Linked DNA regions of Bombyx mori. The protein of the gene in region 1 binds, or shares a complex with, the protein of each later gene. Links are inferred from orthologs where the notes say so. Each region holds a gene or a part of one and is shown in the gene's direction. Other genes may lie near its edges.

What was found.
Region 2: PH (region 1) and RNA cytidine acetyltransferase share a complex: the UniProt entries of both Drosophila melanogaster proteins name them as parts of the PRC1 complex. The link is inferred for Bombyx mori from reciprocal best matches to the Drosophila melanogaster genes ph-p and l(1)G0020.
Region 3: the proteins of PH (region 1) and SCM are in contact, whole or in part, in a crystal structure (PDB 1PK1), measured with the Drosophila melanogaster proteins. The link is inferred for Bombyx mori from reciprocal best matches to the Drosophila melanogaster genes ph-p and Scm. Residues at the interface, in NP_476871.2 of Drosophila melanogaster: Gln1537, Gln1538, Glu1539, Ile1540, Asp1541, Gln1543, Ala1544, Leu1547, Leu1548, His1552, Ala1556, Met1557; in NP_001247006.1 of Drosophila melanogaster: Asp819, Ser821, His825, Met848, Lys854, Leu855, Gly856, Pro857, Leu859, Lys860, Asn863.

The regions. Positions count from the first base shown.
Region 1 is NC_085107.1:11,344,678-11,349,041, reverse strand, and holds part of PH (polyhomeotic), read left to right. Parts: intron 1-1,069; coding exon 1,070-1,224; intron 1,225-1,642; coding exon 1,643-1,775; intron 1,776-2,368; coding exon 2,369-2,460; intron 2,461-2,979; coding exon 2,980-3,055; intron 3,056-4,204; coding exon 4,205-4,364. UniProt on the Drosophila melanogaster protein: Polycomb group (PcG) protein. PcG proteins act by forming multiprotein complexes, which are required to maintain the transcriptionally repressive state of homeotic genes throughout development.
Region 2 is NC_085120.1:8,061,095-8,066,160, reverse strand, and holds the start of RNA cytidine acetyltransferase, read left to right. Parts: upstream 1-1,921; 5' UTR 1,922-2,256; coding exon 2,257-2,364; intron 2,365-2,813; coding exon 2,814-2,908; intron 2,909-3,014; coding exon 3,015-3,174; intron 3,175-3,663; coding exon 3,664-3,800; intron 3,801-4,497; coding exon 4,498-4,660; intron 4,661-5,066. UniProt on the Drosophila melanogaster protein: RNA cytidine acetyltransferase with specificity toward both 18S rRNA and tRNAs. Catalyzes the formation of N(4)-acetylcytidine (ac4C) in 18S rRNA. Required for early nucleolar cleavages of precursor rRNA at sites A0, A1 and A2 during 18S rRNA synthesis.
Region 3 is NC_085129.1:7,205,894-7,210,886, forward strand, and holds the start of SCM (sex combs on midleg), read left to right. Parts: upstream 1-1,848; coding exon 1,849-2,906; intron 2,907-3,314; coding exon 3,315-3,612; intron 3,613-4,645; coding exon 4,646-4,858; intron 4,859-4,993. UniProt on the Drosophila melanogaster protein: Polycomb group (PcG) protein. PcG proteins act by forming multiprotein complexes, which are required to maintain the transcriptionally repressive state of homeotic genes throughout development.

The DNA.
Region 1 (4,364 bases):
CTTCTTCTTCTTCTTTGTCGCTTTCTTCATTGCTGAAGGTCGTGTCCCTGAAACTTGACCGTGGCCTGTCTCGTGAACTGTTTCCATCTCGGCCGGTCCTCGGCTTCTCGAATGGCGGTTGCGACTGTATCTTTATATATTATTATATATCTTTATATATATTTTTCCTAATAAATACAAAGTTAGGCGGTTATTGCGGCCGTGAAAGCGTGGGATATTAATGATAGTACCTCTTGATATTTTTCTAAGTAAATACGTACTTAACATGTGCCGGATTCTCTATTAATAAAAACTAGTGGTCCCGCAGTAGTCGAAATTCGACTATAATTAATTGAAATTATAAGTTTGAACATTATTATGGTTATATTGTCAAACACTATTATACTTCTATAATCACAGACTTCGCCAAGACTACACTATAGACAAATAATATTAAAGATAAACAATATTAACCTATTTTCAATTTGACCACAGACTTTAAGCATTAAGTAAAGTTTGACAATAAACAAATATTATGCATGCGTGTGTGTCAAATACATGGCAATGTGTGTAATGTTTTCTTTATAGATTTAATGCATTATTTATAGATTTAATAGATTTATATGCATTATTTTAAAAAATAGTAGCATTGTGCACTCTTTCTCTATATTCTCTATAAGTGTGGGAAACTTCATACTCCTCCGTCCGCGCAATTTTCGTAAAAGGGGGTACAAAGTGTTTGCTTCACGTATTCATATATAGATTGTAAAATACGTTAGTAAATGTTTACGGTTGCCAAAACGGTTTATTTAAATAAATCTTTATACTGTCATGACTTCATGACTGATTTTGAATGCAGTTTTACGACTAGTAAACAAGAAACTCACAACACAGCTTGCTTTCATCCAAATACGTCACGCAGAAAAATTACAAATTATAATTGAATCGATTCATATAATGAGGATAACTTTATTTATGAGAAACAACAGGTCTACACTAACCAAAGATCTGTGTATTCATTGTGCCCATTTAAAAGTACGCACTTTCGTGATTCCTCAGTGTATATAAGTAATTATTGTGAATTATCTAGGGCCACCGCCGCCACCAGACGCGAAGCCGATTTTGTCGAAGAAGGAGATCGTTTCGGTGGCTGACTCAACTCCCTCCTCGGTATCTCCAAGTGTGTCAAACAACTCCACTTCTGTGGCGAGCAGTGCGCAGCAAACGACCCCTATTCTACCGCAGGTTTGTTCTTAGCTTGTAAGTCCTGACGTCTAGAAACGAACAGTGTACGTATTGAGGTCTATGGACAGATTCGACTTTCAAATTGAATAACCAATTCGAAAATATCAAGCTAGATTTCATGGAAATGTCTTTAAATATTAAGAAGTCGAGTTGCCTAATTATTTTTGAGGTTTCTGTGGTTTATTTTTTTGTTAAGGAAACCCATTTATTTTCATTTAAAAAGTGATTATGTAATATATATATACTGATAGATATAGTTGTTTTATACATTTGGAGTCAAAATGTCCTATCATATTGAAGCTCTTTTATTTTGACGATTTCAGTTGATAAATCTTATTCAATACATCTACATCAATACCATGTTTCTTATATACTTAACTAAAATAAGGAAAAACTTTAATACGTGAATGATGTACAGCTGGTGACAACGTCTTCTGTGTCTGCATCCACAATGACTTCGGTGACCACAGCGTCCGTAGCTTCCGGTACATCAACTATGTTCAAGAGCACGCAATGTACTCCGCGTCATATCAGCCAAGCCGCTGCACACGGTAAGACTTGTTTATTGAGTCATTTAGTCATTGCGTCATTTTACTGGTGGTAGGATCTCTTGTGAGTCCGAACGGGTAGGTACCACCACCCCGCCCATTTCTACCGTGAAGCAGTAATGCGTTTCGGTTTGAAGGGTGCCGTTGTAACTATACTGAGACCTTAGAATTTATATCTCAAGGTGAGTGGCGCATTTAAGTTGTAGATGTCTATGGGCTCCAGTAACCACTTAAAACCAGGTAGGTTGTGAGCTCGTCCACGCATCTAAGAAAGAAAAAAAATTTGAACTTATTGAGTAGCAAAACAGGGTCTAAATGTATTGTTCTTGAAATCGTAAACAGTTTGTAGTGCGCGACAGTAAATGTTTTAAGCAACGGCATGCTATACTTAATAGGTAGTTTTGTACACTTAGCCTTGCGCGTTCAATACCAATATGTTTGGTATTCATATTTTTGTACCGGTTTCAGCTTCGGGTGATAGATATTTTCTGAATCCATCTTCTCAAATGGATATTTAAAATAGAAACTTGCATAACACGTTTTGGTCGATGTTAGTATCCTTACACTAAATCTTATGACTTTTGTTGTGGTTACAGACAAAGGGCTCCCCAAAGCTATGGTGAAGCCGAACATACTGACGCACGTGATAGAAGGATATGTCATCCAGGAGGCGGGAGAACCATTCGCGGTATTCTATATTGGTGTTATTAAACAAATTTGACAAAATAACTAGGAACTAGGAACTTACTGGTGGTAGGACCTCTTGTGAGTCCGCGCGGGTGGGTACCACCACCCTGACTATTTCTGCCGTGAAGCAGTAATGCGTTTCGGTTTGAAGGGCGGGGCAGCCGTTGTAACTAAACTTGAGACCTTAGAACCTATATCTCAAGGTGGGTGGCGCATTTGCGTTGTGGAGGTCTATGGGCTCCAGTAACCACTTAACACCAGGTGGGCTGTGAGCTCGTCCACCGACCTAAGCAATAAAAAAGAAAGAACACCGTCGGTCCTATCCGTTTTAATATTTAACGAATAGAGTGACAAACGAATTAAGAATGATTTTAGAACTAGCATTAGCGCTAGAACAGACATATTTAATAAAATAATATTGTCAAATTTAAGTTTAAATAAGTAACGGAGTGTCTTACATATCAATGATAATAAATTTTAAAAACAACTTCTAAATTAGTAATATCATGTAAAATTTCAGGTGAACCGACCTCTACGCGAATGGGCTGACAAAGAAGACAAAGAAAACAAACTGCCCAGTTCGGACGAGCCTCCACGTTAGTTGAATACACGTTTAACATACTCGCTTTTTTTTTTCTTACCTATGCTGATAGGCGAGGCTATATCAGCTTCACCCTAACGTGTGTAGGTGAGCTCTCCCGGGGCTCAAACCGGAGTGTTGCTAGCACTGGCCCTAGCAAGAGCCGTGCTTCGCAGAATCTACCACCGGATCGGAAACGCAACCCACTGAGAAGATCCGGCGAGAAACTCAGTGGGCTGCGTCTGTGGGTTAAAATATTCGCACTGCAACAAACACAATGCTACCCCGCTTTAATGCCTATCAGTGGTCGCATTGTGATCACGCACGGCTTTGTATGCAAATTATTCGCATTTCATACGCCAACCACTAATGCTTAATCACACAATAAATACAATGGGGTCTCCATTCCTATCTTTGACATTTCGTTTTTTTTGCATTAAAAGTGTACAATTTCCAAAAATATTCGAAATTGAATTAAAATGCGAAATCAATTGGTATTTTTCTCATAAATACTGTCAAAAGAGCGTAGTTTCGTTTTTTTTTTCCTGTATTTTGACTACTATTAACAAAATTAATACATAATTTTATTTTACTTTCAAAGACAGATGATGTAACTAATAAAAAATAAATGTTGCAAAAATGATTAATATTAAAAAATTACCACATTTTTTAAACCTTTAAAACACTCTCCTGTAAAATTAGTAAGTTTTGAGATTATACAGTTTTAACGCGAGAAGACGATTTGTTCTATGTTCCACGCAAGTAGCATTGACAAAATGATTTTTTTTGAAGTGAAAACTTCTTTAGAATCGTTGTGATTTCAAACCGGATGCAACGGAAAAAACGACAGGTAAGAGACACAAATACAAAAATGTGTAGGATGAAGCCAGCAAAGAATGAGACAGAAATATACATACTATTTAATACAGCGCCATCTGTGAGATTTTTTAATACTAACGTGTGTATGAAAGCGTTTGTAGTGAATTTTAATTTAGGATTATACGTGAAATTAAAATATCAATTCACAGAAGGCGCTACCTTACAATTATTTACTAATGACAAAATTTTACATATACTTATGACGTTTAGGATAATTGTATTTTAATTTTGGAAGGTTTCACTTCTACCACGTGTGAATTGCACACATTATTTTTTTTTGATACAGGTAAAAAGCAGATGCTGGAAGGCGGCGCCAGTTTGCCCCGTATAAGTTCTAGTAACGATAACCACGTCAGCGAATCTTCAACACAAAACGCCAATGTGAAGGCCGAGGCCTCATCTAACGTTGAGATGGCCGACTCTCAACCTACGAGTGCCGACTCTGC
Region 2 (5,066 bases), on another chromosome or scaffold:
CACGAGGATCTATCTAAAAAGGTGGATCGAAGTGATCGTTGAGAAAATTAGCGGCGTTTTCAAAACTCAAAGCATAAAAAATGGCGACCGTTAAGCTTACGTTATTTCATGCGGAAAGAGATACTATCTGGAGCATTATTGCGACCTCTTACCAAATATCCAAGTGCCACCGCAAAAGACATTTTAATTACATTTGAAAGTAAATTAATTAAATACACCACTAATATTAAATATAAAAAATTAAATTATATTTTTTTTCAATATAAATCGATTTAAACAATAATTAATTAAGTTTATTTTCAAGGCTTACAGATTACTAGGCTGCACTAAAAGTATCGGGAATGGAATATTTCCACTGTTCCTGTCATATTAAAATCTTTTTAATTGAAAACTCCTTGGTTTTAAAAATCGAATACCATTTATTTATTTAAAAAAAGATTCTCGGTCTTGTCACGAGGTTTTGTCAAACTTGTTTAGTCGTTGAGAAAATGGAATTGACTCGAGAAAATTCAAGAGCGATGATTTATTATGACTTTCGAAGTGGTTTAACACAAAAACAGTGTGTTGACCGGATGATTTCTGCATTTGGTGATGAAACCCCATCCAAAACCACAATTTATCGCTGGTTTGCTGAGTTTCAACGTGGACGTGTCAAACTCAGTGATGATCCCCGTCAAGGTCGTCCAAAAACTGCAGTCACCCAAGAAAACGTTGATGCTGTGCGTAAGCTGATTGAGGAAGATCGACATGTGACATACCGCGAAATTCAGGCAACTTTAGACATTGGCATGAGTCAAATACAAATAATCTTGCATGAACAATTAGGTGTAAAAAAGTTGTTTTCACGATGGATACTGCATTCGCTCTGTGAAGAGCAAAAAGCGGCTCGCGTTACTTGGTGCGTCAGAACTCTCGAAAGATTCCACGCAGGATCCTCAAATGCTGTATACAACATTGTATCAGGTGACGAATCCTGGATATACGCGTACGAACCCGAAACAAAAAACCAGTCACGAGTTTGGGTGTTCGCAAATGAGTTAAAGCCAACAAAAATTGTTCGTTCACGGAGTGTTGCAAAAAAAATGGTGGCCACGTTTGTCTCCAAAACCGGCCATGTTACGACTATTCCTCTTGAGGGACAAAGAACGGTTAATGCAGAATGGTATGCTAGCATTTGTTTGCCACAGGTCGTTTCTGAACTCCGTAAAGAGAACTGCAACCGCCGCATCATCCTCCATCACGACAATGCGAGTTCTCACACCGCGCAGAAAACAAAAGAGTTTTTAGAGCAAGAAAACATAGAATTATTGGACCATCCGCCGTACAACCCCGACCTAAGCCCTAATGATTTCTATACTTTCCCTAAAATAAAGAATAAATTGCGTGGACAGAGATTTTCATCACCTGAAGAAGCTGTGGACGCCTACAAAACGGCCATTTTGGAGACCCCAACTTCGGAATGGAATGGTTGCTTCAATGATTGGTTTCATCGTATGGAAAAATGTGTCAAATTTCACGGAGAATACTTCGAAAAGCAATAAATACAATTTTAAATAGTAATGTTGTGTCACTTCGTTAATTCCCGAAATTTTCAGTGCCGCCCTCGTATAACCTAACCTCTTAAATCTTTTTGTTAACTCACCCTTTGTATTATTTATCTCCACGCTCAAAACGCTCTTTAATCCATTCCACTTGAGTTTATGACAGTAACGCTCACAAGCAAGTGGAACGGGAAAAATTGCGGTCGTGAGTGTGTTCGTTGAGAACGCTTAGTGGAACGCACCCTATAAGATTAAATTTAGCAAAAAATGTTGAAAGAGCCTTGTAAACTTATTTTGCAATTATTGTCGTATTTATAATACGAAATTGGTTGCACTATTTTTTTACTATGGGTCATTCTGACACGTTTAACCGAATGAATTATATAGTTTAGCCTAGTTTAGTCTGGTCTAGACCTAGCCTGGTCAGGCCTAGCCTGTTCTGGTCTAGTCTAGTCCGAGCTTGTCTAGTCTAGTCTCGCCTTACTTATATCTTCAAATCTCGTTTCGTCTACTTTTAGTTTACCTTACATTAATAAGCTTGGCTTCAGCTTTTGTAATAAGTCTTGGTAGTATGGGCTGTATTGTCTTTGCCTGTCTATTAGATCAATCAAACAAATAACATGAAGTGTGCTTTTGTTTTGAATTTTAGGTTATAAAATTTTAAACAATATTTAACGCTACCTAGTTTAATAGATTTGATTGAACATATCCGAAAATGGTGAAAAAGAAAATTGATAATCGTATCAGGGTTATGATAGAGAATGGAGTTAAACTTGGCCATCGCACCATGTTTCTTCTCATTGGAGACAAAAGCAGAGATCAGGTAAATGAAAAATTCTTCAAATAATAAAATAAGCATGGTGATAAAATTAAAGACTTCATGTTAAGCAGATACAAGTACACAGTATACAAGTACCTATGTACTTTTCCTGTCTTTAAAACTTAAGTATCTAAAAACAATACAATTGTAATACATATCTACATTGATATTTGAATATTGGCTTTATATTTATGAAAATGTACGGTATTAAAATTTGTGATGCACATATTATATTTCTAAATGTAACTAATTTTTCTGTGAGAAAAAAACATTTCTATCATTAAAATTTCTCAGACACCACAACAATTATTCCTGCCTGAGCTTCGATCAACTGAGATATCAAGTTGCAATCAGAACAATTGGTACATTAGCTATCTATATCCAGCAAGACGTGTCACGCAAATCGCATTTTAAATCAATTTAACAAAAAATCTTAAAAAAACTTATTTCAGGTGCCCATTTTATATGATATGTTAGTCAAATCGACAGTAAAGGCTAGGCCAACAGTACTCTGGTGCTATAAGAACAAAGATGAAGCAATTAGCAAGTAAGTAACAATTTTTAGACAATTGTATTGTAACAATAGTTAACTACCCAAAACAATACATGATTTCATACTTTAAGAATATTGATTATAAATGAATTCCTTTTAGTCATGGTCGTAAAAGAGCCAAGAAAATAGCAGCTGGAAAACTGGAAGTCTCCGAAGAATCACTGTTTGATGCATTCAGAGTGGCCACTACTATTCACGGTAGATATTATTCAGAAAGTCATGCAATGCTCGGTCAGACATATGGAGTTTGCGTTTTGCAAGTAAGTTACAAATTAAAAAGACATGTTTTGAAAGGTATGCCATATAAAGCTACACCAAAAACTAGAGTGGCTCATGTAAAATTTGGTTATTGGCTACCATCCAGTAACTACATTTTTTCATGGTAAAATGCAAACAGTAAAAAAACTTTCAATTTTTAAATTAAATTTTAATTTTTTACTGGTGGTAGGACCTCTTGTGAGTCCGCGCAGGTAGGTACCACCACCCTGCCTATTTCTGCCATGAAGCAGTAATGCATTTCGGTTTGAAGGTTGGGGCAACTGTTGTAACTATACTTGAGACCTTAGAACTTATATCTCAAGGTGGGTGGCGCATTTACGCTGTAGATGTTTATGGGCTCCAGTAACCACTTGACACCAGGTGGGCTGTGAGCTCGTCCATCCATCTAAGCAATATAAAAAGACAAAAACCAATGATGATCTGACATGAGGTCAAATTTTTGGTTTAATGTATATGACGTTTATTTTTAGGATTTTGAAGCTCTCACCCCCAATTTGATGGCACGAACAATTGAAACTGTAGAAGGGGGTGGTCTTATAATATTCTTACTTAAAACCATGGATTCTCTGAGACAACTACATTCAATAACAATGGATGTACACTCAAGGTATTATTCTGTTCTTAATCACTACATAGTATAAAACAAAGTCGCTTTCTCTGTCCCTATATCTGTCTGTCCATACATAGGGGCAAAATTGTAATTAGGTACTAGTGATGGTGGTAGGGCGTTTTGTGAGTACCTTATATAAGAAACTAAATACATATCTATACTATCTATAATAATATTATATAATCACTACACAGTATAAAACAAATCGCTTTCTCTGTCCCTATATCCCTATGTATGCTTAAATCTTTAAAACAACGCAACGGATTTTGATGCGGTATTTTTTAATAGATAGAGTGATTGAAGAGGAAGGTTTATATTTATAATAATATCCATTAAATAGTGGAGAAATCAATAATAAATTACAGTTTCCGAAGCGAGGCGAGGGCGGGTCTCTAGTTTCTAATACAATACTGTAATGAAAAAAATAACTTTTAAATAAAGTATGTTGTGCCATTTGTATTATTATTATTTATATACACGAATTGACAAGCTCTCTTGAAGAGTTGCTCTACAATAATTGATCCCAATTAAAATGCAAATTGCCCTACTACATTTAAATACCATATCATTATAATCTCATGAGAACAGTATAAACGTCCAGTGACAACTACAATTTTAGTTAATTTAATATTTTCACAATAAATTTTATAATACTTTTAAGAGAAATAAAATAAAATTTATATTTAATTTACAGATTCAAAACTGAAGCTTATGACACAGTGGTCAATCGTTTCAATGAAAGATTTCTATTGTCTCTAGCAGATAACCCTAGATGTTTGGTACTTGATGATTCACTGACGGTTCTGCCGATATCATCCAAAACCGCCCAAATCGACCCTGTAGATGCTACACCAGAGGTAACAAATAGATTTTTGAAATTTTAATAGTAATTTATATATTATTTTGATGAATACAATGGAGGCCAACAAAATGGTTATGAATTTTGAGAGATAAAATTATAAAATTTATATATGTAATGCAAATTTCATTTCGATCGGCTCATTGTAATTTGGTTGGTGACTCTGACTACAATACCACAAACACTATGTCTGTGTTAGATTTCAGTTCAGAGTCAATATCATAATGAAAGATATTTGGTATTTGGGGACTGAGTGTCCCATTAAATAAAATAAAATATAATTACGTCAATGTAAAAAAAAATACTAGACAGAGAAAACATTTGTAGAATATATCATTTTGCTTTTTGATTATTTTTAAACACAGCCCTTTAGGCCAATCTCAATTCACAAAGTCCTCTTGCAG
Region 3 (4,993 bases), on another chromosome or scaffold:
CATAAATGATAAACAAAACGTTAAGATATACAATTCTTATTTTAAGGTTAATTGATAGATAATACAGTACACCGAAGTTTTTTTTTATGGGATTTTATGACCTGGTAACTAAGACCTGTAGGTCAAGTTTTATTTTAATTTTAAAAATACGTAACTTTTTTATATGAAAATGATATTATGAGATGAAAAGAAGTTAAATATTATGAAAGATGGCATGAAGTGAAATGAAAACGAAATGAAATGAAATGAGATGAGATGATATGGGATGAGATGATAAGTATAATCTCAGTAAAATGGCGATCATTTACTGAGACTTTTACAGTGGACTTTTTGGAAGATCCCGAGAAGTAACGTTCAGTATCTTTGTTTCATTTTCCCACATTTGTGCACTTTCACAGATACTAAGTAGTTAATAAACCACCGTTATTACACATTTAAACCTGAAGAAACACTAATGAGACAAAATAAAACAAATCACACAACTTCACTCCTCGCGTTCCCGCCAAAAAGTCCGTACACCGAAGTTGACTTTGTTGTGCCCATATATACACTTAATATATTTGAGTGTGCCCACAGAACACTATAATCTCAATGAAATGGTGGTCATTTACTGAGATTTTTTTCAGTTGACTTTTTGGGGGATCCCAAGAAGTTACGTCCAGCGGCTTTGTTTCATTTTCCCACATTTGTGCACTTTCACAGATATTAAACAGATAATAAACCACCATTATTATATATTTAAATCTGAAGAAACACTAAATAGGCCAATTAAAACAAATCACACAACTTCACTCCTCGCGCTCCCTCCAAAAAGTCCGCTATTATATTGCAACTATAATTTACACTCTATAGAGTACATTTTACATCGCTGCAAGAATGCGTCCCTGACAGTCGGCTCACTGAATTTGGCTCCACCTTTTTTTATTTTCGGATTTTTTTTATTTATAATTATTTGTTCGTCGTTTCTTCGTTAATGTTCGAATGTAAAAATTGTTTGTTCGTCTTTTATTTATTTATAATTACTTAAACAATTGATCACCCTTAAGTTGGCACCTCTTACTAGATATCTTTATTTTTATCATTCAGATTAATTAATTTTGATCAATTATCGTTTGTTCGACGACTTTTGGTGATTGTTCGATCATAAAAACAATTAAATTCGCAATTATTAATTATGTTACATCTAATAAGCAAACCATCACCTCACGCCTACATTGCGCATATATATATTTACAAGTAAAGCTTATAAGCAACAAACAATATGCAGTTATGTTCCTACACCATTCTTTTAAAGTTGAAGCACTTCTCACTGCATCCGGCAGAGCATTTATCTCATTTAATAGACAATCTTACTTTATTGATAAAAAAATATGCCATATTTGTGATAAGTTAAATATATTTTTGTTGTGTTTTCTGTATTGGTATTTTGAGCAAAGAAACTGTAAATGCTACTACTTAACCGTATTTTTAAAGCATGGGTAATTTAAGTAATTTTTTATTAAAATTATGTCTCATGCCGCTTTCTGTTTTGCTACTGTGACATCAGCCCTCGAAAATTTAATCAAATTATCTAATTTTAATCAAGACATATCTCTAGTTACTTTCTATCATGTATCCGAAATTTAATAAAACTAATATGGCCGCTCGAATTTCCAAGCGCGTCATAAATAGGTACCTACCCAAAATACCTACTGTCTGACGTTGTTTATATTTGAGCTTATTTAAGTATCTTTTCCGTCGTAATAGTGATTACAGCATTAAAATATTGCGAAAAATACAATAAATTTCAAGTTCATTGACAGAAAGTGAGAATGTGTTTAATTATGCGTTGAAAGTTACAATAAAACAATGTCGAATAATACTGTCGGCTCGTCGGGGCCAGCTCCCGGCAAAATACGTGGTCCTGGTAGACCTCCGAAACGTACTTGTACATGGTGTGCTGAAAGTAAGACTCCGTTAAAATATGTTCTACCGACGGAAAATGGTAAAAAAGAGTTTTGCTCCGAAACATGTCTCTCAGAGTTCAGACAGGCGTACAGCAAAGGCGCGTGTCTACATTGTGACACAGTTATACGCGGTAATGTACCTTCTAGCAGCAAAAATTTCTGCTCTACGCATTGTTTGAACATTTATCAGAAGAAAAATGAAAAACGTACCACATCACCACAGTCTGGAAACGGAGCAAACGGAACTGAAAGTAATTCTAACAACAATTCTACGGGTTCATTTTATGATATTTACCAACCTTTTGACTGGACTGAATACATGAAAGAAACAAACAGTGTACCCGCACCTCAAGAATGTTTTAAACAAGCACCAATGCCACCCATCAATGATTTTAAAGTTGGGATGAAGCTCGAAGCATTGGATCCCCGTAATCTGACATCAACATGCATTGCAACTGTTGTTGGTGTTTTGGGTCCAAGGTTGAGACTGAGATTGGACGGAAGCGATAATAAAAATGACTTTTGGCGACTCGTTGATGCTGGAGATATACACCCCATAGGACACTGTGAAAAACATGATGGAATGCTACAACCTCCACTCGGCTTTCGCATGAATGCAAGCAGTTGGCCTATGTTTTTGCTCAAGACTTTGAATGGAGCCCAAATGGCTCCTGCTAAAGTATTTCAAGATGAGCCACCTACTCCCAAATCAAATTTATTTTTTGTTGGTCAAAAGTTGGAAGCAGTTGATAAAAAGAACCCGCAGTTGATATGCTGTGCAACAGTTGGAGCAGTTAAAAATGACCAAATCCATGTTACATTTGATGGTTGGAGAGGAGCATTTGATTACTGGTGTAGATATGATTCTAGGGATATATTCCCTGTGGGGTGGTGTGCTCGAGCAGGTCATCCTTTGCAGCCACCTGGTCAGTGCTACAAAAGTGCTACAACTCCATCAAGGTGTGTAACATTATTAACATCTATTAGTACAATTTTGGAACTATTACATTTTGAGAAACTTAGAATTATTGATTGAATTGAGATGTAATTAGACAAATATTGTTTTATATTATGAAAATACATTGTTCGGTATTGTTGTGTGTGATCTTTCTCATTATCTTGTTGAAAGAAAAGTTAAACAGTCTACGTTTAATGACTAGAATTAGAGTTTTCTAATCTTTTGTGAGAAAGACCCATACTGGATAAGAATAAGTATACCTAGACATTTAATAATGAAATATATGATCTAACCACCGATCAATGTAAGACCCAGTAGTAATAGTGAGAGCTACTTACTAACCAACAGACCAATGTGGTAGTTTCATAGTTGTAAAGTATTCAATGCTAGGTAATTTTATTTCATTTCAGGTTTAAACTTAGACCTACTGGTATACCTAATCCTGCTTTGCCAGAAGGTGGTTCTACTGGTGCTGGAAACTCCTCTACAACACCTACATCAACACCGGCTCCTCTAGTGAGACTTTGTATTCGAAACAGCTGTACTGGTGGAAATAGCTTGTTACCCAGTACAATTTCAGGGTCTGGGCCTTCAGGTGCTGCTGAAGCTCTTGCTAAGGAACTATTAATTGTACATCCAGACCCTCAAAGATTGACAAGAGCAATAATGACTGCATCAAGTAGCTATTCTAATAATAATAAAGTACAGGTAACGTTTTCTTCATTTGCAAGTTTTAAAAATTTAAAATATGAAATACATACATCAATTCATATATTGAGGTGTGGAAGGCTATTTATATATATTATCTATATATATGTTTGGTATAAGTTAAATTTTGCTTAATATGCGACATTTATCTTTGTTAATTGAAGGTGCATTTTATGTGATATAAGCATCAACAGTTCAATGTTTTTAATTGAACTTCAGTGGCTTTGATGTAAAGATGCAGAAGTGTTGCTATTTGATTTATAGCCTTTCACCCTTTCTATGTGTATTCTCTAAATAAAATGTCACAACCTGATGTTTTAGCAATCATTTTATATTGTTTTTATCGCATTAGAGGTATAACAAACTTCAAGATAAAAAATAAATATTCAGAAACCTAAAAACATTAATAAACTTTATTTCATCATTTGATTTGATATATAACATTATTATATTAATATATAAAAAAAAATATATACCACAATGTTTCAGTGTTGTAAACACCTGAACGAATTATACATTTTTCATTTATGAGAATCCATCTAAACTATTACACAAATTTTAGAAATCCTTTACATGTCCTTATAGCACCATTGCAATTCAAGCAGAAAAAATCATAATAACAGTAAAAACATAGATAAAAACTAAATATTTCTGGAATATTTCTAAAATATTATTAGTCAAAACCACCTATTACAGCACCCAGCCAAGAGCAAGCAAATCTGTTTATCACAGGAATGCTTGCCTGATAGTAATTGAACCTACAATCTTCAGTGAAGTAGCTAGAGGCCTTAACAGCTCTATAGAGCCTACAGGAATGAAAAGAAATGTTGAAATAGATTCAAGGCTTACAGGTGGCACAGAAAATAATTTTTGCATACTTATATGGTGAATAAAATTATAGTACTGAACCACTATCTAGATTTGTGGGTTAGATTGCAACTATTGTTCACAAACTACAATTTTCAGGTCTAACAAGTTAACTAAGGTCAGTATTATAGTATTCATTGTAAACTAAAACTTAATTTTGTTATAGGTCTCATCTGGAAGCAAAAATTATACAGTAAAAGTACCTTCAGAGCTTACAAATGATGACCTGAAGAATTGGTTGAAAGCTGTTTGTAGTGGTGTGGGAAGCTGTGTTGGTATGATAAAAATAGATACAGAGGATGCGCCTGGTCAACTATGTTCACTTTGTGGAGATTCATCATCTAATAATGTATCATCAGCTGTAAAGAGGCCCCTAAATGTAAGCATTTTTGTAAGCAGCTAAATGTAAGCAGATTTTTATTACACGATGTTATTCCTTCACCATGGAAGTCAATCGTGAATATTTGTTGAGTACGTATTTCATTGAAAAAATTGGTACCTGAAACACTGATGC